3 linked regions of the Oreochromis niloticus genome follow. The protein of the gene in region 3 binds, or shares a complex with, the protein of the main gene of each other region. Links are inferred from orthologs where the notes say so. Each region holds a gene or a part of one and is shown on either strand. Other genes may lie near its edges. The genes, in order: gdf5, bmp2b and rgmb.

Evidence for each region.
Region 1: the proteins of rgmb (region 3) and gdf5 are in contact, whole or in part, in a crystal structure (PDB 6Z3J), measured with the Homo sapiens proteins. The link is inferred for Oreochromis niloticus from reciprocal best matches to the Homo sapiens genes RGMB and GDF5. Residues at the interface, in NP_001353437.1 of Homo sapiens: Gln57, Thr60, Phe63, Val64, Thr67, Ser68, Leu70, Asn71, Tyr88, Leu103, Val104, Ser107, Ala108, Leu110, Gly111, Ile112, Asp114, Leu115, Gln118; in NP_000548.2 of Homo sapiens: Leu396, Arg399, Phe435, Pro436, Leu437, Arg438, Ser439, Asn445, Val448, Ile449, Leu452, Ser455, Met456.
Region 2: the proteins of rgmb (region 3) and bmp2b are in contact, whole or in part, in a crystal structure (PDB 4UI2), measured with the Homo sapiens proteins. The link is inferred for Oreochromis niloticus from reciprocal best matches to the Homo sapiens genes RGMB and BMP2. Residues at the interface, in NP_001353437.1 of Homo sapiens: Lys97, Arg100, Gly101, Leu103, His106, Ser107, Leu110; in NP_001191.1 of Homo sapiens: Val308, Gly309, Trp310, Trp313, Met371, Tyr373, Leu374, Asp375, Glu376, Tyr385, Met388.

The regions. Positions count from the first base shown.
Region 1 is NC_031970.2:3,000,963-3,011,367, forward strand, and holds the start of gdf5 (growth/differentiation factor 5), read left to right. Parts: upstream 1-5,892; 5' UTR 5,893-6,545; coding exon 6,546-7,035; intron 7,036-10,405. UniProt on the Homo sapiens protein: Growth factor involved in bone and cartilage formation. During cartilage development regulates differentiation of chondrogenic tissue through two pathways.
Region 2 is NC_031980.2:4,166,838-4,176,806, forward strand, and holds the start of bmp2b (bone morphogenetic protein 2b), read right to left. Parts: upstream 4,458-9,969; 5' UTR 4,253-4,457; exon of another isoform or gene 3,904-4,252; intron 2,954-3,903; 5' UTR 2,941-2,953; coding exon 2,586-2,940; intron 1-2,585. UniProt on the Homo sapiens protein: Growth factor of the TGF-beta superfamily that plays essential roles in many developmental processes, including cardiogenesis, neurogenesis, and osteogenesis. Induces cartilage and bone formation.
Region 3 is NC_031977.2:17,429,352-17,439,267, reverse strand, and holds the start of rgmb (repulsive guidance molecule B), read left to right. Parts: upstream 1-5,295; 5' UTR 5,296-5,720; coding exon 5,721-5,838; intron 5,839-9,462; coding exon 9,463-9,916. UniProt on the Homo sapiens protein: Member of the repulsive guidance molecule (RGM) family that contributes to the patterning of the developing nervous system. Acts as a bone morphogenetic protein (BMP) coreceptor that potentiates BMP signaling. Promotes neuronal adhesion.

The sequences.
Region 1 (10,405 bases), on a different chromosome or scaffold from region 3:
TTCATTTTTCCTGAAATCTGCATGGCAGCTTTTTTCACTCCATCAAAGATAAAAAAGGATTTTTCTTTGCCAGATCGGCGATATTACTGCAGCCGCAACAGCAGTGCAGCTAATTAAAACCGCAGGGTATGATGTAACAGGAGCCTCTTCGTGCGCTGTAACCTGTTTTGGTAACGTGAGCCTTGAAAGTTTACCCAGAATGCACTTTTTGAAGTTTTTTCCACGGAATGATCAGAAAAAAGATCAAACATCCGGAGTATCGATGCTTGTTTCTGCTCCTTCGCGTCACAGACATTAAACGTGTCCCACGATGCAGCTGGTTATGGAGAAAGTCGTGCTGAACAAAAACAGATCTTGGCCTCAGACTGTGACACTTGGAGTTGTGTGAAATTCTTTTGGCTGTAGTTTTAAACAGATCCGAAATGTGAATTTTAGCCCAGAAAATTTCACATGGATGTGTGCGGTGCCGAATACTGGAAAAGACCGAGTTGAGTCAAAAAGGCTGTGAAGGGGTGTAACCATTCAACCCTTTACCACAGGTGGAGCTTCACCCAACTTTTGTAGATGATCTGAAGGATCCTGCAGAGAACCAGAATGATAATTACAGGAACTGTGAAATAATGTGAAGGCGACCTGAGCGAGGACTTCAGGAACACGTTGACATATTTACTGACAGTTGGAGCGGTCCCATCCTTTGGCCTGTTGGTCTGGAGCTGATGGAGTCCCAGGGTGTGATGCTCACCGACTCCAAACGCTTGCAGTTTGTTATAAAATCATGACTTATGACAGACTGTTGATATGAGCGTCAGGATAAATCCCTCGCTGTGTCTTTGACATTCGCCAGAATAAAAAGCAGCGAGGCAGCTCTTCGCCTCGGAGCAGCTCAGGCGTACTGGAAACGGTTGTTTGTCAGTTGGCTCGAATCAGACTCCATGTGCACTTGATGTCCTTGGTTTTGGCTCTGGCCTGGGATCCTCGTTGCATGTCTCAGACTCAGAAATGTCAACAACTTATCTTTCAGAATGAAATGTTCCCCGCGTCCTGCATGCCACACGAGCCAGACCTGCCAAAGGAAAACCACATTTTCTCCAAACTGTGTCCCAATCTGCTGCGCTCAACGTTTTCTGGAGTGAGACCGGTGGGTCCAGAGCAGGAATCCGAGGTCCGGGGATCAGTTTACATTTCACGCTCAAACGCACACCCACGATTCCTCCGATACAGGAAGTGCCCTCAAATATACACAGGCTATAAAAAGTGTTCACACCCCCGCAGTGTCCATCGGGTTTATTTCTGTAACACATTCAATAACAGCGGAACGCCTTCCTGAAAGTGCATTACAAGAAACAAGGAAGACTTTAAAGTAACACACGAAAGTTAAAACTTCACAAAAACATAATATGAAATGAGCCAAAATGAAAGGTGGAAACACGGTGCTACATTTTGATTAGTGCAGGAATTCCTCTCAGCGAGTGAGAGAGCTGTAGACGTGCACACGTAGAGTCCTGGTAAAAGAAAGTACACCCCGTTCATTTCTACGGTTTACATATCAGAAATGCAGACGCATGAGTGAAGTCCACTTTTACTGCTTCCACTGGGATTCAACTAACAGCCAGGCGCTGCTAATCAAATGCACTTGATTAACTGATCATCACTGAGTGTGAGCACCCCAATCAAAGCAGAAGTTTTGGCAGTTTTCCGGTCTGCAGCACTCAAGCTTGTGTTAACGAAGTGGACGTCTCAGCCAGACTGTGCAACGCTCAAGGAAGCTACAAACAACCACAAACGCTCCATCTCAGACTCTACAGGCTTCAGTTAGCATGTTAAACTTTGTAAGAGCACAATTAGATAAAGACTGAATAAGTGTGGCTTGTTTGGAAGCCCTGTGGCCTCTTCTTTCTATAAAGAGCAAGTTTGGCTGCATCCGAACGAACCGCAAGACGTCTGGAACGATGTCTTGTGGACAGGAGAGAACAAAGTGGTGGTGTTTGCCCATCGTGGACAGCAGCACAGTCGGACAAACCAAAACACAGCATATCAGCACAAACACCTCATACCAACTGTCAGCTCAGCGGCGGAGGGCTGGGGATGCAGGCTCATTTTGCAGCCATAGGACGTGGGCAGCTTGCAGTTATCGAGTCGACCGTGAACTCCTCTGTAAACCAAAGTATTCTAGAGTCAAATGTGAGGTCGTCTGTCTGGCAACTAAAGCTCAGACCAAACTGGGTCAACAACAGGACGATGATCCAGAGCGCAGAAGCAAATCTCTGACAGGAAGCTGCTGCAACGGTCAGGTCAAAGTCAGACCTCAACCCGACCGAAGTGCTGTGAGATGTGCATAAATGAATCCACACAAACCTCAATGAACTGTGAAGAAGAGTGAGCCAAAATTTTACCACAATGACATGAACGACCCATAAAGTCACACAGAAAACCATTACTGTAGCACTTTCACACACTGTTGTAATATTCATTCCATTCACTTCAATTTTATTCACTTAGCACCAAATCAGTCGCCTCATGTGCTCCACTGTGCGCCGTGAAAACACACTGGTCAGTAATTAATGACGTTCAGTTGTGATGTGGTTTTAAGGCACTGTCACCTGGAGTCAGGTGTGAATGTGCAACAGCGCAATCTGTTACCGGTCACATCCAGTCGAGCCGATCCCAACAGTATCATCCGATCACTCCTGTCCTTCTGTCATGGCCTCAGGTGGGCAGAAAAGCAGCTGAGGTCAGAGAGAATAAAGAGAGGGAAAGACAAACACAGCACCAGAACCAGAACCAGCTCCAGTTACAAACCACCAGAGACCAGCTCCACTGCCGGGAGCTCCGGGGTTGAACCCTGGCTGCTAATTATTCCTCGAGTTTGGTCAAAACTAAAGTTATGGCACCGAGCTGGAGCTGCTCGTGGCATCATAAATTAAACTGGCAAACAGTGTTAGAATCAGAACCGACCGCCTCGTCTCCCGGGAAGAGAAGGAGACCAAAACACTGTAAACATGGATGTGTGAAAACTCGAGGTTTTATAATCAGTCAAATATGAGACCCACAAGTGTGTTAACTGTAATTTAAACAGGATAATATACTAAAATTAAATAGATGTAATACATTAAAACTCTAATGCAGTACAGTCATTGATGGCTGCGTAGACTACGAGAAAAAATACACAAAGTGAGTTTAACAGTGTGCAAGAGGCAAACAGTAAAACAGAAAAACAAATACCCACAACACCAGTCAAGCTAAAAACACGACAGGTACTAACTGTGGCCAAAAACTACATATTCATTAATATTCAGGCAAAACATTTGCAGCCTGCAGGTCATATGAAATCACCTGAGGCCAATTCTTAAGATTTAGGTACAGTAACAAGTAGGGATGCAACGATACCAATTTTTTCAAACCGATCCGATACCGATACTTGGATCTGAGTACTTGCCGATACCGAGTACAAAAACCGATACTTCTGCCACACACAAGTTAAACTTAACCGGTAGTAAAGAAACGACCCCACACAACTCTTTAACACAAACGAAACGTTTACTGAACGTAAGGGCAGAGACAAATACTGTACAACACATCCCTTTTTTAAACTCAAATGATATTCCAATTCCTTAACCAAATGAAATACACTGTATAAATGAAATAATTCCCTTTCAAATTATATTAAACAACCCAACTTATGTTATCACCTTTTGGTAAGTGACTCACTAATATACACTCCAAAACACGGTATATAAATCCACTAAACATACAATATTCACACATGGGCCCCACACACACTCACATTCACACTTGTTGCAGGCCTGTTTGCTGCTCACGCCGGACGATGGAGAAAAATCCTCTTCTCCCCAGTAAGAGCACAAAAGTCTGACTTACAGTTCCGTTGCTCGGTAGGTCGCCGTTCACCAGTCCCACACTAAATCCACTCCCTGCGGACCCGATGCTGTCTCTGCTACAGCGCGTTAGCCAGTCACTGTCCAGCTCTCCGACAGTCCATAGCAGCTGCCTCCGTGGCGCAGCCAAGCAGTCCGGGCTAGCCTTTAGCCTCAGCGGTCATGGCTGAAAACACAGTTTTCCACGGACGGTGGTGCGACCGTTGAAACAAAAAGTCACTTCACCCACACTCTGTTGCGAAGCTCTCACACAGTTAGCTTTCTAGTCACACACTCTTTTGTGCAAGTTAACCTCAGTAAAACTAGCCGAGTCTCTCACTTTGGTTCAGCTAACCTCGTGCATCTCTCCATGCCGTTCTCTTCTGTGAACTGTGAACACCTTATGTGGCGTTCAAGTCCATGGGAATTATGAGTATCTACTACCAAATTCCCATCCGGGCTACATTAGTATCGGTTCATGGTATCGGTTGACTTTTACGAGTACGAGTACGCACACATTTTACAGTATCGGCACCGATACCCGATACCAGTATCGGGATCGGTGCATCCCTAGTAACAAGAATAAACTAATATACATATAAGCTACAGCGCTGCACACCAGGGGACACAACAGAAAGGCATTTCTGACATTAGCAGGGAGTTCAAATACCAGTATGCTATTAATTATTCCAGGAAAGATCACACTAGTCAGTATGCCAAAATTCCCAGGAGTGACAAAAAGGCCCATTCTGGTAAACATGACAGCCACAAAGCTCGGCACAGTGGAAGTGGACATTGTGGTGTCTCAGCAACGTCCTCGGCACGGGTTAATCCCATCCACTGTCCCATCAGTGGTTTTCCAGCCACACAGCCTGGACATCTGTTATGTTAAAGGAACTTGTTTTAAATTTCTGTACTTATAATAGCTTTAAACTTTCCAAAGTTACCGTCTGCTATGAAAAGAAGGAGAATAAATAACATTTATATCATGTTGTGAGAAGATATGAGCTGAACTTGAGTTAGAAGTCTGAAGATATTCCAGCAGTCTGTGAAAACGCTGCCTCCTGGTGGGGAAAGTTTCTAACAAAACACGGAGATGATAATTACAGTAAATGAATTACAGTCACGAAGGCCGGCTGACGACATGGTGACAGACATGTGGTCTCTTTTCTCTACCCGTAAACTCCTTCCGCTGGTTGCTGTGATGGTGCAGGGCATGCTGGGATAGGTGACACCGTTACAAGTTTTTGTGATGGTTTGCTTGCTTGTATAGTTTGTTTGTGTGGTCTATTTCCACAGTGCAGGGGGTGATGGTGGATGGAGCAGACCGTGGAGTCACCTGGTCCCAGACTTCTGAAGCTCTTCTTCCACATGACTCCACCAGCGCACAGCCTCAGTGCTCGTGGTTTTTGTTCATGTTCGTTTAAATAAATTTGATGTCATTGCTCTTCATCCCGTGTCTCACTCTTCTTTGATGGCTTCTAAACAAGTGTGAGATGCTGACAGATGACAGTAGTGACAGTGCGGTGTCCACTCAGGTGTACTGTGGCTGCTGGAAGAGAGAATAAAGGCTTTTTAAAGTAGGTTTACGTATGAGAAGCAAGTGTTTCGTGTTTTGCATCTATACCAGAGTATGCAGTGGGACAGAATGGCAGCTCACAGTGCTGAAAACATGAAAGGTGGATGTCCCAACAATGATGTCACCTATTTCAGTTTAGAAGATTGGAGTTTGGATTTTTTTTACCTTTATAGAAACTGTGAAGCATGGAATCATCCAGAGATGCTGCTGAGCGATATAAATATGTGTTAATGAGAACAAAGAGACACAAAGCACAAAAGTGCGCCTCATAATCTGTACTGCTGAAAAACACAACACAGATCAATCCGATGAGTGGAGATTTTCATTTCTGCGCTTTTTGGCTCGTTTCAGTGATGTAAACTTTTTCTTTACCCTCCTGAGTGTGAGTGTGTGTGTGTGTGTGTGTGTGGGGGGGGGGGGGTCCTTTCCGTGTTGCAGCTTCAGTGAGTCATTGGTGGAAAAGAGGGAGGAAGATTTGAGGAGAAATATCGCTGTTAAATGAGTTTGGGCAGCATGACATCACGCGGTAATTAAACCAGTTTTCTGGAATTCCGTTTCCAATTCCTGCGCTCAGGTTCGCTGGAGGAGTTTTTCGAGCACCTGCAGGTTGGTGTGTGAGTGAAATATTTTCACTGGACGGAGTTCAAACTCTGGAGAGAGAGAGAGAGAGGGAGGGAGGGCTGCGGCATTACGCCATTCTTCCCTCTGAGAGAAAAAAAAAGGGGGATTTAAAGAAGTTTCTTACAAGACTTCCAACAGAACAGTTCCGCGGAGTGTTTCTGCGCCTCTCAGCCCGGGCTTTGCGTTCTGCTGTGCCGGGCACATCTCTCCAGCACTATGCTCCTCACACATGCCGCGTGGGACAATAAAGCTGTGCGGGATTTGTTTCTTCGGCTTGTAGACGTCCGTTACAGTCTCTGCTTTCACCGCCTGGCACGTGTCTGTGCCGAGTTTCAGGCGGGGGCAGCAGCTTTCGTGCATTTCTCGTGAGGATGACCCACTCGGATTTACTGTTCTTTGCCGCTTCAGCTTCCTTGTGATCTCACTGCACTTCGCTACGATGACAGCCTGGCGGGAGGCGAACGCGCTTTAGGATGAAAGCCGTGACGCGTCTGTCTCTGCTGCTCAGCTGCTGGACTCTGGTTCACCTGCATCCCGGCCCCACGGCGCGTGTCCGCGCAGGTCCTCCGGTAATCAGAGGAGAGGCGTCCAGGACGATCAGCTCAGGGCGCACGGAGCCCGTGCGCTCCCGACTGCCCGGCGGGGATGCGTACGATAAGGCGCACGCTCCCGCTGCCATTAACGCACACGCACGAGCGGGTGGAGGAGGTGGAGGTTCATCGGGGAGAAGTTTGGGAAAAGTTGCGGCCGCGGCGGTGCGCACCTCGTCCCCGCAGAGAGCCCGCAGCGCGCCGGCTCCGGCGGCGCAGCGGGGGGCCGCGAGCCACAAACAGCCGCTCGTGACGCCGCACGACTACATGCTCGCGCTGTACTGGTCTCTCTCCAGCGGTGACGTCAACGGCAGCACGTTGCACGAGGCCGGCCTGGCCAACACCATCACGAGCTTCGTGGATAAAGGGCAAGGTAACCGCATCACCCACGAGCCTCTGTGCGTCCCGGGGAGTGCTCCCACGTTACTTTTCAGTCCCACGAAACAGAGTGACAGTGACACGCTGTTAGTGCAGGGATGGTGGCAGACACACACCCAGCTGAGCTGTGATGGGTGGGTGGGGGTCCACGCTGTGGGGGCAGCAGGACAGGTACTTGATGATGCATTTGTGCCCCTGGTACTCTGTGGGGATTAAAAAGCAGCTGGAGCAGAAGGTTAGAGGAGATCTGAGGAGCCAGAGGATGAGCAGAGGATAGGGGCTGTTAGCTGCTTTTAAAGTCTCACTTTAGAACCCACAGCAAGTTCAGACCTCACACCCACAATTCATTAACAATTAAAAAAGGGGGAGTATAAAAAGGATGCCACTGGAGCCTCAGGTCCCACAGAATGAGAGCTGCTTTAAGGGACTGGAGGCCAGTGTGGGGGGCACCAGAGGAGGGTGGTGCTGAGGGCACAGGCTGAGGATTGTCCCGTTAAAATCAGAAGGTCAGCAGTGAGTGGAGTACTATGGGAAGGAGCGTTCAACAAACTGGGGGTCAGATTCCCTTTCTGACAGCCAGTTAGCTTAGCTTAAAGAAACAGCTCCATCCAGAGCTAACAGGATGTGATTAGCCGAGAAGTTCGAGTGGACATAATTTTCTGCTATTAGTATATCTCCTCTTCCAGCAGTCACGTGATGTTTTAAATAGTGATTTCAGTCATCCAAAAGCTAAGGCTGCTCTAAACTCTCAGTTTTAGATTTTTTTTTTCTAGATTTGGATATGTGTGATGTCAGTAAGAGTAGATATCCTTATATGGTCCTCCCATCACAGAAGCCACACCCACCTGCTGTTTAATCCGTTTTTTGAGAATTGTAGCCAATCAGAAGCACTATTCTATTTTCCTTTATGACTTCCTTTATGTATGTATGTTTATGTAAAAGCTGACACTGACTCATTTAACCACCTTGTGGTACAAACTTGTATTACAGGAGAAAGACAGCTTGGCTTGAGTTAGACATAAGTTGATATCGCTTTAGCACAAACAGAGATGATGCCTTCATTTCATTTTGTTTTAAACTACTTTTAAACACAGAGATGTGAACGTGTTTGATTTGCATGAACAGAGGCCTGCAGGTGTATCACGACTACTTCCATCAAAACAAATTACAGCTTTTAATCTTTGCACATACACCTTTTTTTTAAAAAAATTAAATAGATCCCACTCTCTGGACTTCCAGATTCATGGAGGTGCTCTTCTGGGATTTTTTTGACAGAACCGGCTGAGCCAATAGATATGTTTCGTTTTCAGTTGTATTAAAGTGCTGCATAAAAAAACCTAAAGGACACGAGTGTAGATTTAATTTAGGCTGCACACATCATCGATGCTGGATTTGTGAAAACTAAAATAAAACTTGGGCTTTTTTTCTACAAACAGCTGGAAATAATTATTTAGCTCCTTTCACTCCTGTTCATTGAGGACTTTCTCACGAGCACCCTCCACTGCACACTTGAGTTTCAGCCAGTTTGGGATCGACAGGAAGTGAAATGGCTCTCTCAGATTGGCTTCAGTTTGGCTCAGGTCACCTCCGCAAATATAAAGTGGGCGGGGCTTATGGGCTTTACTGTAACCAGGCAGGAGGGGGTTACAGCTGTGATGGCAGCTATGTTTGTCTATATCTGGTACTTTAAGGTTTGGTGGGAGAAAACCAAACAGTGGGGATCAAGAGAGCGACTTTACATGTATGAAATTAGAAATGCATTCTAATAAGCATTTTTCTAAAGACCAATAACTAATTTAGTCTTGTGACAGCAGGTAGTGTAGCAGAGGAATAATTAGTGTTTGATGTCAAACTTTCAGCAGTTTTAACGTCTGGAACATGTCTGTGCACATATATGCACATATTTATGTATATTTATTCCTTTGCAGTTGTGAGTCTGTGTGTGTGTGTGTGCTGCCGTGTGTTTCTAACATCTGGTCGGCTCTCAGTGATATATACGGCCTCGTGAGGGTAAATAAACAGTGCTCACAGCCCCCCGTGTCATGTTGTCTTTACGATGTAAAACAGTTTTAGAAGCGTCTTTAAATGAGCGCAGTTTCATGTTCCTGCTGCTGCTGAAGGTTTACATTTCCACCACTTAATGTACTTTTAATGTGGCCTTTATTTGTTCAGCGAGTCGTTGCTGACTTCGTCCACATGCTGAGACGAGGAACTGATCGTTATTTACCTTCTATCCTTTCATTCACTCTTACTCTCTTCCTTTATTCTGCCTTTATTCCTCCGTTACTGCTGCCGCTCCTTCTTTCTTTCTTCCTGCCACATGCAAGGCTGAACCTACCTCCTGAGGGGCCCCAGAGCAATGTCTTGCTCTGGGCCCCCGATGATGCTGTGTGTGTGTGTGTGTGTGTGTGTGTGTGAAGCAGAGCAGCTAAAACCCTGATTAGTCGACTAAAAGTTGATCTGGCAGTGATTTTGATCATTACATTTTTTGAAGTAATTTTTCCCCTTATTAACCCACTCATTTGTTTACCTGTGTGAGGTTGTGGATCAAATGTTTGTTTTCCAATTTTTGGCAATTTGATAGTACAGCAGTGCAGTAAATAACCACTGCATGCAGGAACAGTAGTTAGCAGTGTTGTCTCACAGCTGTGTGGAGTTTGCATGTCGTCACTGTGTCTCTATGGGTTCACTCCGCTTCCTCCCACTGCCCAAAGTGTAGTTACTGGGGTTAGGTTAGTTGGTGCAAATAGTTAAATAGTCCATCTCTCTGTCTCAGCTCTGGTGACCAGCCTGGGATTAGGAGAGATTTGGACATTTTCCCCCAGAGTGGGAAATCCTCTTCACCTGGGCCGGTGCCAATATGTTAAAAAAGCTGAAGCCATGTGTGCGAGTGAGCGACACGCCATTCTCTGGGCAAAAGTAGGTTTATTAGTAGTTATATTACTTTCATAATTTAATGAGTGATGATCAGCCTGAAATGTCGAGTTTTTAATTTACAGATCACAAAACATTTGAATTTTAGAGTCTTTTTTTAAACTAAATATCTGTGTTTTAGAGCTTTATTTGAGCAGGTGACCCACATACTTTAAGGCTATTGCAGTAGTTGAATCCACCCCGGGTTATTTGCTGCATATCTTCCCCTGCGCTCCGTCCCTGCGTTCCTGTCCACTCTCCACTCACCTGCTTAGATAAAGGCTAAAAGCCCTTAATAACAGCACTCAATAAAACAGTCCAGTAATTTTGACTCCTGAGTAAAACTGCTCCATGAACAGTAACCAATAACAACACTGTACTTTACATGCTTAATAAACCCATCCAGTCGGCCAACTCTGACCCTTTGCGGAACCAGTTTTGGCCCCTAAACC
Region 2 (9,969 bases), on a different chromosome or scaffold from region 3:
TGCACTGTGAGAATTGGCTGCTGCAAATATTTTCATAAGTACACATGAAAAAAGTTGCACCATATACTGACTTCATCGAAAATGAGAATGGCCAGAAGAAAACTAGAAAGGCCAACTGTTGCATCAACATTTATTTATAGTGTAGATTTTGCCAGCACTGGAATACTTCTTTTATGCGTCAAGGTATTACATTTAATAACTAATTCTGAAATTACAAGGACTTAAGTTACAATTAATGTGACGATAATAAAAGACAAATGGAAAGTAGAGTATATATAAACTGTATACAGTTAAGATCTTTGTATACCCCTCTATAGTGTACGGTAAATGACAGAAGTCTTAGTAAAAGCTACAATTTTCTTTGAGGCAGCCCTCCCACTTTGAACTCTTACTTTATGAAGATCACAGATGATGTATAGACACACTTTTTAATCTGTTTGGTGCAGCGCCGTAAACACAAACTTTGAACTCTTTGCTTTTTCAAAGGAGGCATTTAGGAAATTCCACCATCTCATCCTAAATCTCCCTCCAGAGGCACAAAGACCTCAATTAGGCCCATCACTCCTTATTTGATGTGGGAAAGCCCCCTGTCTCTTGTTCCCCCTCCTCTGTCCCCAATCCCTCTCTTTCTTTCGTTCCTCAGCTCCCAAATCCCCCTTTCCCTCTGTTCTCTTAGCCCCAAATCCTCTTTTCTTTCTCTCTCCTCCTCTTTCACGTCTTCCTCAATTTCTTTCTACAACAATATTCTCACTCTCTCTCGTTTTCTGTTCTTTGAGGTTTGGCTATGTGAACAAGTCAGGGCCTGTCACAAACGTGTGAACCACAGATATGAGTGTATCAACATTCCTAATTTCTTTTTGTGCTGCATGCCAAAACATAAGATAAAGGCTAATGTTGGGTCATTCATCAGAGACGTGTCTCTGGCAGCCACTTCCTGTGTAGTAGTGGAAATGTTCTATTTGGCATGGGAAATGGTTATTTTTGAAAACTGATAGCAGTGAAACTAATTATCCTAGTGAAATGAATATCAGGCAGCAGATGTGATGAATGATTAGAGCAGTTTGCTTTGATGTGTTGCGTTTACATCTGTAGATACATGCTTATTATATGGAGCAGCCATCAATTGCGTGTCTCCTGACGTGGGAAGACGAACAGCCCAGCAGCTCTGTTAGCACGGGATGAAAGGGCTGGGGGGACGTATGTAAACACAGCCTGAGCGCATTCGTAATGGCCAGTGGTGTCAAGGTGTGTTGGCCGGTGGCAGAGGTTTCCAGTAGCTGGCTGGGGGCAGTCACTCAGCCCGGCTGCCCAGGCCAGGGTTGTTTGTAGTGTGTCGGTGTAGCCACTTGGTGTCATTGCACTAGGCCTCTGGAGAGCACCCAAGCAACCACTCAACCACCCCTCTGACTCACCCCTGATGGAAACTTCCCCAGTCAAACACTTAGAACTCTGTATGAGGACTCTGTGTAGAGCCCCTATGGACACAGTCACTTGTATGCTTTGACAAATGGAACATAGACCCTAAGATGGTGAATGGTGATAAAGCATCACTATATGTTTGACAGTAAACACTGCAGTGTTTCCTTTTTATCATGCGTGAGTCATTTTAATATCACAGCCAGGTGCAAAAGACAATATAGCCTCGGATCAATAGAATATAAGTAAACCATCATTTTTATTTTCTCAGCTGCTGTTTTTTTTTAAGTTATAAAAGTCCACTTTATTTGTAACACTGTGCGAACATCTGTGTAGTTGTTGAACTTAGTGCACCTTATCCAGGATGTATGAGGCTTTTAGTGCCAGTCTTATATATATGAGCAGCATATGTTATCTTTGAAGTGCAACGGAGTTGAACTGAAACATCAAATTCAACAAGCAGCACCGTATCCACCGTACAAACTAAGTGAGCAATTATAGTGTTATTGGAACATGCGTAATGGCGCACTGCACGGGCTCAACGGGGATTTGGAAAGACGAATAAGGCGGGTACCCCCCCCCCTTTTTTTTAACCAAAAACTAATTTCAGCCTTGTTAAAAATGACTCAGAATTCAGTCTGACACGATGACTTTGTCATAATGCGTGTTAGTATAATGTCATGTCGTGTGTTATTGAAGTAACAGGGTGATGACTATCACCTGCGCAAAGGCACACCGCCCTTTATCCTGCTCCTGTGGTGCGTGTCTGGAAAAACTGTTTTCGGAGCCCACGCAAACACCATCAATTATTAAGAAACAAATTACTCCAGGGATACCACCGCCTCTTGATGTTTTAAAGCCTCTGACAGCAGCCCCAGGGGGATGTTCGGTTAAATGTTGCATCACAACATTTGTGGGAGGTAATTAATTGCGTACGAGATGCTTGTTTGTAAGTCGCGTTACTGAGTTTTAGGCAATCCCGAGCGTTTTTAAAAGTAAGTTGTAACTTAGACGCGTGTCACCTGTAAATGACTAAACCTCTATAAAACAGCGAAGACTCTGAAGTTCAGTCTTGACGCACTGAGTCATGTTTAAATATAGGTTTGGGTTGTCTGAGAGAGCCGAGAAGCTTCCCGGCTGACAGGTAAAGGTATGTCACTAATACATACCTTCATGGTGAAAGCTTCTAATCGTGTTGGCCTTGCTGGCGGCTCTCTCTGCGTGTTTCCCCATGCTCTTGGGTCGTTTGGTGCTATGGTCTCCGTTTGCTGAATGCATACGGTAAAGGTCCACCATATACTGCGGCACCACGGCTTGCTTACTCGGGGTCGGCCTGCGCCCCAGTCCAAACACATTGAGAAGCCGAAGCTCAAAGTCGTTGAGGAAGCTCTCTGACTGCTCTGGGGTCTGCTTCCCGGATTCGCTGTATTTCCTCCGGCCGACCTCGGGGATAAGTCCCGTAGCACCTTCCAGCAACACCTGAGCGAGCAGCAGTACCATGAGAGAGCGGACCACGGCGACCATGATCAGTCAGTCCCTGTGGAGAAAGTTGGTTTCTGTCAATACACTGGCGCTGAGGTATTGACATGAGGTAGACGCGGCAGGGACCTCACTGCAGCATTCCCTAAACTGTGTGTGATCCCCCTACACAGTCGGAACGATTGAAGGAAATCAGGTTAAAAGGGAAGACAACGCTTCACTTTGAAGTGGGTAAAAAGAGAGAGAGAGAGCGAGAGAGCGAGACCCCCACCGGCAATATAGCGCGTCAAAGCTGAAAGAGAAGTTTGGTCTTAACATGAAGTGATACATGAAAATATCAAGGTGAGGAAGCTCTGAAAGAGAAGAACAAAAAAACGAGGGACTGACTCAGAAAAAACAATCAAAGGATTTGTGGATAGAGATCAGACAAAAAGTCTCCAATTAGAGGAGATAAGAAATCACGTTACGGGAGGTGGTATGAAAAAAAGAAATGCAAGTCTGTGTAGCCCGACAGATCACAAGAAGCATCAAAGAATACAGTGAAGGGAAACGGGTTAGTATGCACAGCAGCAACAGATGCAACCAGACGGTGTTACAAGCGTCTGTTTGCAGGGGCTTTGACGGTCGTGTGTAATCATAAGGGATAGAGTTACTTCAAGAGGCTCGCAGGTGTTAGATCTGACGTGCGTACCAGATGTAGCCCGGGACAGGACATAAAAAAACATGAAAAACCTAAGCATCATCTGAGCAGCACGACTTCCAAAGAAACAACCCTTTTCCCCTCTTCTTCTTTTCATAGTTTTCTCCGTGTGTAGGAGAACGCTTTAACTTTTACGCACACACCCTATAATCACATATAAACCAAGAACTAGCAGGGAGGGGGGGGGTCACTTAGAAAGTAAGCTTTTCCTCGTGTAGCAAGTTATTGTACAAACATTTCATTTTTTTTTATTTACGCCAATTAAGTACTTTAAGCGTTTATCAAAAAACCGTGAGTTTTTATTTTACCTGACGAGAAAGCGCTGTGTCCGGTCGTCGTTCCACCTTTGGGCTCCGATAAATTCCACATTAATTCGTGTTTAATCCACGTTGCTTCTCCTTGGGGGACCAAAGACAGCCCATAGCCTTCGCCGATCGCCTCTCACACATATTATCACCAGCTGCGAATCGGGTTAGGTCTTGGTCAGTCCCGAAAGGAAAAAAAATTATGTGAATTCTACGAGGAAACGGCTTCGCGTAGGCATAACCGATCTAAGTATAAAGAAGCTTCTCTGAACATCTTTACCAGCGAACAGTTATCTTCTGCTAAAACTGAACTTTTCCGCGAGAGAGAGAGAGAGAAACACGATAAGCGGACCTTAAAGTGTCGCTCTTTTGGACCTTCTTGCTGCGAGTTGGAGAGCGCGTCGCCTCTCTTCTGTGCGCCGCACTGGAGTGTTTGAATTGATTGTTGCCTTCTCTTCCCCCAGCGCTCTTTTTGTCGTAGTGATGTCACCAAGGGGATGTCAATCATTTGTCCACAATAAAGCACCTCCTGCGGACCTCTACCCCTGAGGCTCCAAACGTTTTCATGACTGAAAGGCTTGGACATGTAACTCTCCTTTTTTTCCCCTACCTACGCTCATTATACATCATTGAAATGAAAACGAAACAAGAGACAGAAGAAATAATAAAGTCAAGAGCAGTTAAAACCATGCTGTTGTTTTTCCAGATTGTTCTTTTTAAATGTTTTTTAGTAGCATCAAAATGGCTTTTGACAGTCCCTAGATGGTTTAATACTCATGTGAATTTGACCACCCCTGAGCAATAACATGTCAGCTCCTGCTGTTACATAGACACATTTTTGACCAGTGGTGTTAATGGCTGGATCAAAAATGTTTAGTTTTTGGATTAAGTCTAACAGATAATGGGTTTATAACTTGTTGCTTTAGTGGTTTCAGAGGATTAGATGCTGCAAAGTGACTGTCACATTCTCCTGCTGAACTTCACTTTGTGTGAATGTTTGTGCATGTGTGACTTGTACACGCGCTCCCCGCTGGCTGCATTAGGCTTTTTCATTTCTTTCCAGTTCGCAGCGCTTTATCAATATATCTGTGGCAGCTTTGGCTGCAAGAATTGCTGTCTTATTCTTCAGTACTGCAGACGAGCCAAGTGATAAAATCTTGTAAGAAAAATTCCCCAAGAAGGCAGTAATGTTTTCACTAAGTTTATAATTTAGAGTTCACACAAAATTGCATCTTAAAAAGGATGACCGGTTAAGCGAAGCATGTTAGCGCACCAGTTGATTTGGCTTTTCTAGGAAAAGTACTTGGTTCTTTTGTGTAGCCGTTGAAAGCACAGATGGGTGAGGGAAATTTTGCTGCTTTGTTTTTAGCCTGAGGGGTTGTAGTCAGTAGCATTGGTGTTTATGTGATCTCCATAAAAAAAACAGCCCCCACTGAGTTCCTCTGCTCTTATCCATTAGGTGATAATGGTGGCTGTGTTTGGGCCAAAGCATACTGACTTCTTCGCAAGATAGCGAGAGATTAAATCCCACAGCGATCACAAGATATTTGTCTTCCTTTAGGACAGTAATATTTTATCAGGGATAATCCTGGATCATCCACTTAGCAATTAAAACATGGTAAGGCCAATGAGTGTGTGCTGCTGTCTGAGTTACAGTGTTTCCTTTCCATTTCCTTGCTGCATCCAGGCACTTCAGAGTTTAACTTTTTTAAGGTGCTGAATCTAATTAGCTTCTTTGAAATCTACTTAGCTTATTTGGATCTTATTATTGTTTTGGTAATGTATTTATTCATCAGAATCAGCAAATGGTGACAGATTGTGATGCAGTCTTTTTCATGGACTTTAGTTCTACTACAGGTCATTTATTCATAAAGATTTTCTCCATTGTTATGTTAATCTGCTGGCAATTGAGTCTCTGTTGTTGCCAAAATACCACTTGGTAAACCTAGTGCTCTAAACCCAAATCCAGGTAAAAGCTGCATTCAGGCTGCTGTAGATTGCAGGATAAGTCCTCCCACAGCAAGCTGTGAGCATCTTTAATTACTCGAGTGACAGGATTAGAAACAGAGGGCCTTATCTGATTATTTGTCCGTCTTTTTCTTTTTGTAGGCATTTTTGTGGTTTCACTAAATGATCATGTCAACGTTTGTGTGTGTTTTGAAGGCATGGACATGCATAAATTGTGTGAGTGTGTTTCCTTTGGCTCAGCTTATGTCAGGCCAGTTCTGAGGAATGTGCCAAGCCAAGGCTGTTGAGGGACTTGATCAGTGATGCCCAGGGTGGTTTGAGAAGATCTTGTGGCTCTGACACTGTATATGTCATTGCTTATCATATCGCTGCTGATCCAATTACATGCTGATTGAAAGAACAACATCACAGAATGAAACCCTCATGGCCAGAGAGGGCGGGTAGAGATATGCTATCTCAAACTCAAATGAACGACCTACTGAGAGAGTCTCTGAGAGCCTTAAACTTTGACTTAGCCAGACACTATTAACTCAACAACCACCACTAATGGCATGCTTATTTCTTCTAACAAGTATCTGTTTATTTGTGATTGTAGTAAATATTCTTTCAAAGTTATGGAATCAAATTCAAGGTCAACATGTGCTCAAATGGCTCTCTGCTGTTTTAAAGACCTAAATGCACTGCTGTGCTGGTCCCGCTGCTTATAGTAAAAGGAAAAACAAGCCTGTGAGCTGTACAGAGTTTCCCACATGTATGTTTAGCTTCAGCCCCATGCTTTCATAATATATATGTTTTATTTCTTTAAAATACGTAAAATCTTGGAAAAGTCCCTCTCCAGACATTTATTAAAGTTTATTAAATAATATTATTTATTAAAAGAACTCACGTAGATTCACCACAATTAAATGTTCAGAAGCAGTTTTTTTTAAATGAATATAAACCCTTATGCAAAAAAGGGCTTTCCCTAATTTAATATGCATATCAATATTGGTCCATGCCTGCTCCCTCATCCTCTTTCCACTGGATCTGTGAGCTTCACTCATAAGTTCTCCTGCAAAATGAAGGAAAACATAGGTCCAGTTGTTAAGCAGTTGAGGAAAACCTGCTGCTTAAACTGTAAATCAGGAGGTCCAGAATAAAGAGAAGGTGCTGTTCAGCAGGTCAACAGTCAGAAAAAGTCAGAAAAAAAAATCAATTGACAGTTATTAGTTAATAGCAATCTTTTAGCTGTAAAATTAAACTAAATGAAACAGTCTCTCCTATATAGACGTTATGTATGTTGGACCTGATTACATTATCAAATCATATTCTGTTATTAAAGATAAGGTTGCCACTTCTATTAGTCCCCAGCCTGTAAGTTGGAGGGATTGGTTCCTAATGTGGGTGTTAGCACATCTGTGTCCATGAGGGTTGATTTGGGTCTAAGTGATGTACATTTTTGTGACTGTGGACTCATCTTTGGAAACTTTGTATTATGTAAACTGTAATTGCAAGGTGGACTTCAATGGGCTTCGCAGAAGTACAACAGCAATGACTACATGTCCACAGTGTCTCCAGCTGCCCATGTCCACAGCAGAGTAAAGTCGTCGCTTTAGGTTTGTTATGCATGAAACCTGGCTTTCTAAATCCATGCTTTAAAACCTGTCATTGCAACACTGCAGTCTTTGTCTCACTCTCTGGTGTGCCCTGGTGTGCCTTCTAGCATATAAAAACAATCACATTGGCATGTTAACAAGGTTAAAAAAGGTTTTTTAGAAATTAACATTTCTAGCGTCTGCAGGTACAAAGCAATTAAACACAATTTCAAGCTGACACAACCAAAATTTCCCTGATTTTTTTTTTTAAGTCTGCAATGACCTACAGGTAGGTCAAAAACAGTGCTGTGGAGCATCTGTCCATCCTCATAACAACAATTTAGCTATAGACTGTTGTTATCAGATTAAACTGGTGGTCTTGGAAATCCTTTTGTCCCAGTCGTGAGGACTAATATGACCAGTCTCTGATCCGACCCCTGAGGCCTTAAGTCTGTGCTTAGAATCAACACAACTGAAAATTCCCAGACTCACAAACACTGTCGCACAATCACCGCTTTGTTCCTGCTTTGTGACATCTTTTCGTTCTTTGAGTTAAGAGTTGTTTTTCCCAAAATTCTATATGAAAATTTACTGCCTTTCTTTGACAAACGGAAGGCAACATAAAGCTAAAATTCAGGTTAGACTGGAAAAAATAGCAGGTTCAGGTTTGCGTTATAAAACACTCAGACCCACACATGTACAAATGATACATTATGTAATCATTTAAAAGTCATATTTCTTATTGTTATGCTCCATTCATCATTCAGCTTTGGGGGGAAATCTTCTTTTCTAACCAAAAACATAATATACAGTAAACCACCACCATGTACTTTTGCTTCATCTAATAGATGTATCTTTTTTATGGAAACTCCCTTATGGCAGAACAATACATGGCACTTTTAAAGAAAGCATAATGAATGTATTGAAGGGGAAATGTTTGAGGTTATTTGAGAGAGATGAGGATAGTGGTGTTTTAACACATAGATCCTGTCAAAAAAATCAGAAGAAGACATGGCTTATTGTCCTCAGTACGGTGCTTTACATGCTCATTTGTTGTCCCATGGATGTGTCTGTCTGCACATGTTATGGTGGATGTGGACGGCGCAGCCTTCTCTTGTCATCACGCACATTCCACAAGTAAGGGGGCAGACAAAGCCCCGAGATGACACTGCAGATCTAACTATTAGCCTTTCACCTGCTGTTAACAGTAGCTTGGCTAGACACAGGGCCTGCATTCCTCTGCCTTGATGTAGCCAGATGTAGTTTTAACAGACTGTATGTGTGTCCCCAGGGAGATAATCTTCAGAGATGTTGTTTGAAACCAGGAAACAATTTGTTGTTGTGACTCATCCCTAATTCAACTGCAAGGCAGTGGCGTCTTTTTAATTTAGAAACCAGTAATATCTTCATCAGTCCACGTGTTTGACAGCAGAAGCACGACTGCTGCACTACGCTAAGCACGTGCACATGGTGCATGAAAGAGATTGTGGCAAAATGGGACACATTTCAAATAGGTTTGTCCCAAAATGGAAACCCACCAAGGTCAGAGACGGCCAGCTAGAAAGCCAGAGTCAATATTTATGGATACTGAACATGTGGCACGCTTCTCTACCCACTAATTTGAGCAACAAGTCCACCTCCAGATTATACGACCTCTCAGAGATCACAAGAGAGGGTCCAAACCTTGCTCGCATGGTTCAAATATTGAGAAGTACGCTGAGGTTGGTCGCACACAAGAAGCTGTGCGTAATTTAGCAAATTGGCAGAGTGTTTATTTGTTTGTGATTTAATTTCCTGTGTAAATAGGGTGCAAGGAAGTTTTGATCAGCGAATCGTGGTTGCTCCTTCATCCACAGAAGTTGTTGCTATTTTAGATATTATAATTATTGTATTGTGAAATCACTTTGGGCTGGCTTTTGTCAAAAAACAACAATAAAAAAAGACTTTTACACTCAAATCCTCCACCATAAGTCTAAAAAATAATGTATTTTGTTATTAGATGCATCTTTTGAATTTCATGCAGTGTCCTTTTTCGTGCCTGGTAAACTGCTGCTGTAAAATCAGTATCAGCAGTGTAAAACATTTAGCTCTGTACTGACCTCACACTGTGACAATTTACATTAAGAATCACATAAACATTTTAAATACATTTAGCTAGTTAACTAGTTGGTATAGCTGCACTGCAGCTACTTTGATTTTAAAGAGAGAGGCAGAAAGACATAAATACAGGGATCTGCCCTTTGAATGCAGCTCCACTCATAAAGACACCACGCGTCACTCAATTATATGTCTGCATGATTAGAAGCTTGGGCTACGTAAACAGCCAGCGTCAAGATTTACATTTTACCGCTTAAGCACAAGCAGCTGTTTACAGGCCAAAGAAGGAAGGAACACTTAGTATCCATACATGATGAGGAATAAGGAACATGCATCTTCAGCAGATGATGCTTTCAAGATGCTTTCAATTAAAGGTTGTTTATGTAGATCTAATGGAATATTTGGTTGGAATATTAAATTGCTTTTTAAT
Region 3 (9,916 bases):
TTTGTATGTCAGATTTAAACTTAAATTGTATGTAGATGATATGTTGAATTTATACATGCAAGTACTTTATACATGCAAGTTTCATCATTCTAATGCTGCAATGTGACGTATGTGTTTCAAGATAAAGTGCACAGCAACACCCTGCAGGTAAAGCACACGGTTACTTTGGTTTATGAGACTGCACTTTACCAATTTCTAAAACAGCTTAAAAAATAGGCGATAATACATTTATAATATACAGCTGTATTTGTGTGTGTGCTGAAAACATGAGATTCTCACTATAAACTGTTGAGATTTAGTTTAATTTTACATTGATGGCTTTAAAAAATGCACAAGTGTGGGAGTAATTTGATATTGTGCCTTTGATGCGTTTGCAACAACGCGAGCTGTCAAGACTTACACACTCTGGCACACTCACACATGCACACACAGGTGTGTTATGGTGAGTGGTGTGAGCTGTTGAATGATAGGCTGTTTGCAGTAGAGAGGTTTAGGGGAGGTAGAGGTGGAGGTGGAGAAAGACAGAAGTGGAGATGGGAGGCAGAGGTGTGGAGGTGAAGACAAGCTGGAAGTTTGGAAACAGATGGCCTTTGTATGTAACACATGCATTCATGCACGTGTGTGTGAATGCATGTGTTACTGGACAAAGTGTGCGTGTGTGTTTGGAGGGGGGTGAGTTAATTTCGGTGTGCTCTGATCTCTGGTCTCAGCTGTGGTGTAATTGATTAAATGAATTAGTACAGAATATAGAATTAATGTTCATGAATAGGATCATGTGTTTTGTGTGTCTGTGTGTGTGTGTGTGTGTGCGTGTGTGTGTGTGTATGTGAGGACCAAAAATTGGTATGCTACTATACTAGTGGGGACCAAATCCTGCTCCTCATTAATTTAAAGGCAATTTTGAGGTTCAAAATGTGATTTGAAGTATTATATCGAGTCCATTTCTGCAAGATTTGAAAATCTTGTGTGTGTGTGTGTGTGTGTGTGTGTGTGTGTGTGTGTGTGTGTGTGCGTATGGCAGATGGGTCATTAGAATGAAATATGAAATTAGTCTTGATGAAAAGCACCAGATATGCGCACGTGTAATTGAATTAACCAGTCTGTGCTCCGTGTGTCAGCATAAATGAAATGTTCACCTTGCGTGCTTCATCCTGCTGAGAGGTGCATCACAGACAGACTGGCCAGTCAGGAGGCTGTTCTACTGTCAAAAACACTGCTTGCTTAATTTCTGTCATAATAGGTATCCAGGATGTACAGCTGGGTGGGAAATTAGAGTTAAATAACATTATGGGTCTTAGCAGGATGTTGGACCAGTAGGAGCCCTAAAACAGCTTTAGCCAGGCTCTGCTGGCAGGATGAACACCAGTCTTCCAAAAGAATTCACCTCATTTGATGTTTTGATGGTAACAAGGAGCGCTGTCTAATGTACCAATGTATATATGGGCTATAGATGTTTTTTAGTTTTAAAATAATTTTCAAGGAATTATTTATTTATATATTATAGCCAGCAATTTAACAGCTAACTTAAATAAATCTAAATCTAATGTGTTATATTATGTGAGTCATTTTTATTCTTGAAAGTAACTATTTAGGATTTGTACAGTGGTGTGCAGTGGTTAGGGCAGTTGCCTCACAGTAAGAAGGTCCTTGGTTCAAATCTGCAGGCTGGGGTCCGTCTTTAGGAAGTTTGCATGTTCTTCCAATGCCCGAGTGGATTCTCCCTGAATACTCTAGCTTCTGATAAAAGATGTATGTTTGCTTAACTAGTGTTTCTCCGTTAGCCCTGTGACAGACTGTGACGTCACGCTATGACACTTTTGATGAGGCCAACTGCAACCCTGAAACAGATAAGCAGAAGAAAGTGGGTGGATGGTGGAAAAGTGTTGTTTGTTTCTGAAGTATAGTGGAGTAGAGGTATAAAATAGCATCACAATAGCAATACTTGAATTACCATAAAGTACCTTAAAACACTACCACTAATAAATGTCAATGTCAGTAATCATGAAACCATGTGATAACACCTCCTGCTCAAAAGTCTCTGTTTGACACTGCTATATCACAGGGATCTTGTGGTAATGCTAAAGTTCACTGCTGATCTGCGTCCACTTGTCCCCTAAGAGGTAAGGTTCGATACAAATCAAATACAAATCGATACTTATCTTATGATGTAATATGTCTCTCCTGGTAAGAGTGGTCTCTTTCATAGTGACAATGACCCCATCCACCAGACATGAGGGGGGTCACTAAACGATTTGATGATGATGAAAATCAAGCCAATTAAATGCTGTTTATGTATTGCACTCATCACATCTCATTCGAAATGAGCACCTATGGGATATTTTAGACTAGCACTCTCAACCACCATCATCAAAAAATCAAATGAGAAAATATCATTTGGAAGTTTAGAGACTGAGAAATGTATGACTTCTGGGCTCAACTCCAAGGTGAATTCAAGCTTTTCTTCTTACACTTTACATTGTTTTTTCCTCTTTAATTTTTTCTTCAAATATGCATGCACATACTACACATACATGCATATGCGTTTGTGTAGTATGCCAAAATTAGTTAAAAAGTATGAACATACACATACTGCAAAACAATATGTTACAAGATCTCCTGAGTCATCACAGACGGCCTTCCTCAGCAGCAGCATGCACGTTATAAAAATCAGACACACATTATCTGCCCTGACCACACTCACTGTAAAATCTTCATCACTTACGTGTTTAGTTTAGAGACGCATTCAGAGTGGCCGTGACTGAATCCGAGTCATGCTGCAGCTGCTCTGACACACAGCACATAAAGTAGCCACAGAGCAGTGTTATTTGATGAATGCTTGCTTATGCTCACATCCATATAAACAGGTTACAGCCAGGGTTGTAGAGTTTGGCAGAACGTAATAGATAATGGAAGATTACAGCAGTAAGCCCTGCACGTACGGACAGAGAAAAAACAGGGTAGATTTGCAGACTTAGTAAAAAATTATCTAACTGTAGATGCTTCGGTGCTTGCTTTGAAATTTACCCAACTGTAAACTTTACGTGAAAAAGCAGGCTTGGCTCAGTTTCAATTTTTTTTCTTTTTTGTTGCTATTAAAGATCTTAAATCCACAACCTTCAGAAAGTTATTCATTCATGAATTACAGCTGGAACAATAAAGATAGCAAGGTACAAGTTACTTTGCATATATTTAGTGGCTGTCATTATCTCTGGGAGGCTGTTTACACTCCCTCCTGAACTTTCGGCAGTTTTGTTCTTTTTACTTTACAGCATTATGATGGTTTCGGTGTGAACATGTCTGGACGGTGTGTTACAGACATCATCTCGACATTGTGTTTAGTTCTGTGTCTGTCAACATATTTTTTATTTTTGCCAATACAGTCAGGAAGGATACAAACCTATTAAATGAAATTTAATGTATGCTACATGTTTTTCCATTCAGTTTGTTTAATTCCTAGGAAGCACAAAATAAAAACTCAAGCATGGACTAAGCCACTGTGTCAGTGAATACAGACTGAATAACAGCACACAAAATATCCAACTAATTTCACAGATTAATTAATTATTAATTACAATACTGTGCAAAGGTCTCGAGTCTTTAGTTTTTGTGTAATTTGGCATACCTCAGCCTTTTTCCCTCTGTTTCCCTTTCTTAAGAATAGCTTCTTGACAGCCACCCTTCCACCGAAACCATTTCTGATGAGACTTAAGCAAACAGTAGATGGATGGAGTGCAGGGTCAGACGCATCTGTCAGGTCCTGTATCAGGTCTTTGCTGGATTTGTTCCTATTTCTTAAGGACATGACTTTAGATACTTTTCGTCTGCTGAAGATAGTTATTAAGGTCTTTCGCTTGTGCAGTTTCATTAAAATATCCCCAAATTTAAGGACACACAGCACATCATGTCAACTAAAGAAATTAAAACAAATGCTGTGTTTTTGAAACAGACTGCTAGTTACCAAGTGTCTAAAGTTACAGTTTAAGTGTAGACACAACACTGGTGTTGGATACCAGTTTATGCTTGAATGATTCATAGGTCAGTGTTAAGTTGCTTAACAAACAAACAAACAAATGATCAAGTATAAGGACTAGAGTGAAAATGAGTGAAAAAGCAGCTAATGTCCAAAACAAATAAAAACTGTGAAGGATCTGTAGAATGCCTGGAGAAGCATTGCTCAAGAGCTCTTTATAAAAAATCACAAGAAAGCAAAATATGAAGAAAGACTTTTGCACAACACTGTATATCCCTGAGTTTAATAAGTGGATTTATATGATTTATGATTTCTATCATAGCCATGGGGAACACATGGAGTAGGCTGGATATGCCTTATGAGTTTAAGAGGTATCCTTTTGGAGTATTTCGAGTGTAATATGGTTAATTTTTAAACATTTATTTGATGTGGGATTTGAGACACAACAGATATACAAAATAAAAGATTCTTTAAGATTTCTGACACATCTTTAAAGGATGTCTGGCCTTTTTTCCTCCTAGGGAACTCGTTTGCACTCACCTGTATTTGTACAAACTGTAGAAGTACTAAGAATGATAGGAATCCTATCAGTACTAAAATAGAAAATATGATTTTATTGTTACTCTCGAGAGGCTTGGGTAGTGGGCAATATTCTTTTATTCCTCTCTAACAAACGGAGTCTTGATTATGTCACATCATATCTTAAAATATGATTTATTTACTTGTTAATGAATGCCATTATAATTACACCTTGTAAAATCCGTTAACATTTCCACAGCTATTACATAGCCTCCCTTCTCACATAACCGAATACTTACATTTTATGTTTCTTTCGGTTTCTTGCAAATGCGGAGAGTGAAAGGAAACTGCTGCAAGGAAGGAAAAGGTTAAAAGTCAAGCAAACTGCTTTGACGTTGTTTTCTTGACGTCACTAATTGTTTGCTTATTTTTGCAACTTGTTTGCATTAGTATTTCTATTTCTTTTACATTTTAAACGTGAGTCAAGATTTTTTTTCTTAATACGATTTTTGTTCATGGTCAAATGTTCGACGTCCTTTTTGTATTATGTTCTAATGTTCTTGCTGATCGTGCTCATAGTTAATTAAATAAATCAATAAGCTCATGATTACTTTAGTTTATACAGTGCTGCTTTACCTAGACTTCACAACTTTTATCAAATTTGTATTTATTTATTTTTGTCCCATTTGATTGACTCTCTCTCTCTCTCTCTATCAGTGTGGTATAGGCGGGTTTTCCGCCAGCAGGGTTTGGTTGATTCTCTATTGATTTGCTGGGGTGGGAGAGGAGGAGGAGGAGAAAGTGAAATGGGAGGAGAGCAGGAGAAACCTCCGCCTGGCCAGTGAGGGAGGGAGGGATATGATTGTGCGTGTTTGGGACGAGAGAGGAGAGTGATCGTAATCAAGGCAAAAGTCCGGCTTGCAGCGGGAGCGCACTCCAATCACGTGGGGTTTGGATTTTTATAGGAGAGAAAAAAGTAAAAGTGTCGACGAAGTGACTTCTGGTTGTACTTTGTATTGTTTTTTTCCTCTCTGTGCCTTTCCACCTCCCCCTCCGCCCTGCATTCCGTGGAGCAGCTGTGTTTTAATGCCCCTGCGCACCCGAGGAGGAGAGGAAGGAGAGAAGAGTGAAGAAGAAGAGGCAGAAGAAGTAGTGAGAAGGCCTGGACACCACCCGTCCTCGTCCTCTGGAGGTCTGTCCACTCTCCCCTCCTGGCCCTGCATGGACGGGGATGGGGAGAGCCGGATGCTGTTGCCGCGGGGCTGAGCGCCTCACCTCCCCGTCTATGGTGCGCCGCTTCCGGCCGCTTCTACTGCTGATCATCGCGCTGTGCTGCGGTGCTCACATAGGTAACTAATCACACTTGCAACACTGCAACACCCAGAATCTCTTTGGGTCACAGTAGCAACTGAGCTGTAATTTATCTACTTTCACATTCAGTGATGAACTAATTACTGCTGACTCCATCAGCTATAACCATAGTAACAACATTTCTTTTCAGTCGCTATCACTTGATGGTGATTGAAACACTTTGTTAGTTATTAAGCGTCTGTAATCACTGTGTGGTTGATCCTTGTGTTGGGCCCAGTGCTGCCTGACAATGGCTCTCTCTAAAGCGGCAGTGCAGCAGTCTGAGCACGGATCGAGTTTCTCCTCTCTCCTGGGCCGTCATTCTCCTGTCTGCCTCTTAATGGCTCATGGAGGAGGGGGAGAGAAGGCAGGAGAGAGCTACCTCTCCTCTTGTCCATATAAACCAATTCTTTTAGTGCGCTCATTTACAGAAAAAAAAGCAAACAAACAAAACAAAACAATCTATTCCACCGCTGCACATCATAAAATATAAAAAGAAGTTGTGCTGTGATTTAAATCTGGCCAAACCTAAATAAACAGTTAATGTTGAGCTGATGCTGATTAATAACGTCTATTGTAAGAAACGGGATCAGATAATCGAATTTAAGAACATATTCTTGAATGTCCGACATATTTCTCTTTATATTTGTGGATGTTTATCTTTTAAAACCCCTACAATGATCCAAGGCTTGTTAGAAACCCCCCCCAAAACAAACAATGAATTTAATAAATGAAGAGCCTGCTAACTGGATGTTAACAAGGTGTCTGCAAAGATTTCTGACACTAAAATCAAATGTGACAGTTTTGACATACTTCTGTTTTCTGTGGCTTTGCAGAGGTCTTACTTCTTTTTTGTGACACTGTTTGCTGGTCATTTTCTGTCTTGTAAAGATGCAGAAGCATTTTACATTTGGTGCAAAAAGGCAGCAAAAAAAAAAAAAAAAAATCAAATCTGGCTGAGTCTGAGTGTTTTTGTCTGTGCAGGGGGTCGGCTGTCTGTAGAGCAATCACACCTCCAGTAATTAGTTTAACACAGCGCAGGCAGTCGGACAAAACGGGAACACAGAGAGAGACCCACTTCACATTAAAGACCCTCTTGGCACCTATGCTGCACGTGCGTCACCTGGAAAGAATGTGTGTGGTTTTTTTTTGTTCTTTTTTTAGTTTGTCGAGCCAAACAGAATGTTTTATTTGTTAAAACTTGTACATGTTTTGGGGTATGTAGATATATTTCTTTGTTGTCAGCCCCATGTGTCTGTTTAGGCAGGGAGGAAGGAGTGTCTGAATTGTTGACTATTGTTCACAGTGTCTGGCCGACGACGAGAGAGAGTGCACGCTGGAGTGAGCTCCTGTAAAGCTTTGCAGCTTAAAGCTATAGAAAGGGTGTTTGTGTGATTTGAGCTCGGCTTGTGAGAGAGTGCACACAACAAGGTGATCAATAAGCACTTCTGGAGCTATTCCCTTGGTTGAGAAATGATCCCAGTAGATCCTTTCCTGATCTCCAGAGATCAAAGGAGTTGAAGGCAGCGAGATTGGGAGGCAAAAAAAAAAAAAAAATGCTAAACCGAGCCATTGAGATTCAGCTGGTTGATCTTATGACCTCTGTCTGATGGTAGAGAAGGTGCCTCAGGAAGAGAGGCAGTAAGGAGGTGAGGCTGGCCAGGGAATGAGGCTGAGGGGGCTGAAAGCAGAATAGTGCTGAAGGAGGCGAGTGATTGAAGCTACAAAGGAAAAAAAAAGAGAGAAAACTGAAGATATGAGAGAGAAGAAGATTCGAGTCCTGTGGGATTATATTGAATGCGAGGAAGACAGAGGATAAGGAGCTATGTTGAAGGCAATTTTAAACACACGAGGAGTTGTGTATTCTCCTCTTAATAGTATCTGCCAGCCACCGGAGTATTCATCACCTCGACTTTACTTGACAAAAAATATGCTAATTTAGAAAGACTGTTTACAAAGGAGATCACATGGATGTTTTAGGTAGCAAATAAGAAAATTGTGCTTTAGTATGTAATGTGTAAATATTACAAACGTTATTAAGCAAATCGTAGTTTTTATTTCAGAGAGGTCAGAGTGCAGGGTCAGCATGGGAGCGACACAGTGGTGTAAACTTCAACAGAAGCTTTCCGTCAGTAAGGTTTTGCAAGTCGATGCTTTAATGCCAGATCCCTGCAGTCAGAGGGTCAGCTTGCTTCTCGCTAAGTTATCCTTCTGAGAAAATATTAGTGAATAAGTGCTTTTAGTGCAGCAGCTCATGATCCCGATAACTTCTGAAAGAGAACAAACTGCTCTGATTAGATTGGGAGTCGCATTTGGGTACTGCAGGCTAGATTGGAGGGAAAGAAGGAGGCTGTTGGTGCACCAGTCAAAGACACAATGTGTCCTCAGTGCTCAGACCTGTCTGTGCAGCGGTGGTTGGCATAGGAGGCAGCCTATGTGTGTGCGTGTGTGTCTGTGGGTTGGTGTCAGTATTTAACAGTTAGGAGAAAGATTCTAAAGCGCGGTGTGAGTGAGGGTCCGTACCTGCACCCCAAATGGCAAAATTCAGAGCATTACTGCCCCCATTTGGTGGCATCACACTCCTTCATGCTCTAAAATCAGATAAATCGACAGAGAATAGCGGACGTGTGCTGCCAGCTGGTTAAGTGATGGAGTAACGTTTGAGTGATCGTTTCTGTAAAAACTCGTGCACTTTCGGCCTTTTCTTGGCCATTAAGAGACCATCATCTAAAGATCACCGACTTTGTGTGGTTAACGGAAGTACAAGCAGCATTCTTTCTAAGATAGCTATTGCTGTGTGTGTGTGTGTGTGTGTGTGTGTGTGTGTGTGTGTGTGTGTGTGTGTGCAGCTGCTCATACACTGCAGAGCCTCTCTCTCTCTGGCCTAATCTAATTGGAGCACGTTGTGACTGATGCATTAGGTCTGGTCTCTAATCTCTTTCTCGCTCTATCTTTCTCTCTCTCTCGCTCCGATGATCTATGATATAAAAGGCGACTTTGACCCTCGTTACATTTAGAAACGCAGAAATAGATAAAACATCAGGGAAATCTGTTTCTGATGGCTACACGAGGTGCATTTTTGATTATGTTTTTCCTCTGCAGAAGCCACCCAGGATCACTAACACAATTATTCAGCACCTTGCTGACGAAGATTATTAGCTTCAAAAAGTCACTGTGTTGTGTTTGTATTCACAGCACAGCTGCTTTGCCCTGCTCTCTTTGTCTATAATGTTCTATATGCTGTGTGCTCCTTGGCTGTATGGGCACTTTTATCTCACTGCTTGTGGTAAAACATGCTTCGTCTTCCCTCTCTCCGGTTGCTCTTTGGTTTATTACACTTCAGGTTTATTACGCTCACAGAGCGGCACTGATGATTGATCCAGACTTTCAATCAACAGCTGGTTCTTTTTCTAGTTTTATTAGGTTTTTATTAGACTGTAAAAGACTCATATCATTGCGTGCTTAAAATCAAAGCTTTCTTCACACGTAACCTTGGTAGTCTTGTGCGATTGCACAACCTTTTCACTTCTACTGAGACATGACTCTGTCTAGTTCACGCCTAAATTATCAGACGTGTGTATTATATATCAGTATTCCAGACTCTATTTGTGTGTCCTCTTCAGGTCAGTGCCAGGTGGCCACACCTCAGTGTCGTATCCAGAAGTGCACCACCGACTTTGTCTCCCTGACCTCCCACCTGAACCCTGCGGTGGATGGCTTTCACACTGAATTTTGCAAGGCTTTGCGTGCGTACTCGGCCTGCACTCAGAGGACAGCAAAGGCCTGCCGTGGAAACCTGGTCTTCCACTCGGCCGTTCTGGGCATCTCAGACCTAATGAGCCAGAGAAACTGCTCCAGAGACGGCCCCACTTCTCCCACACACCCCGAGATTCCCTTTGAGCCGTGCAACTATCACAGCCGCACTCAGCATGCCCACACGCAGTCCCATGCACACGCTCACTCACACTCGCACACTCACAGCCACAGCCACGGCCACTCTCGGGCTGGGTACCTGTTTTGTGGGCTCTTCGGTGACCCCCACCTGAGGACATTCAAGGACAGCTTCCAGACTTGTAA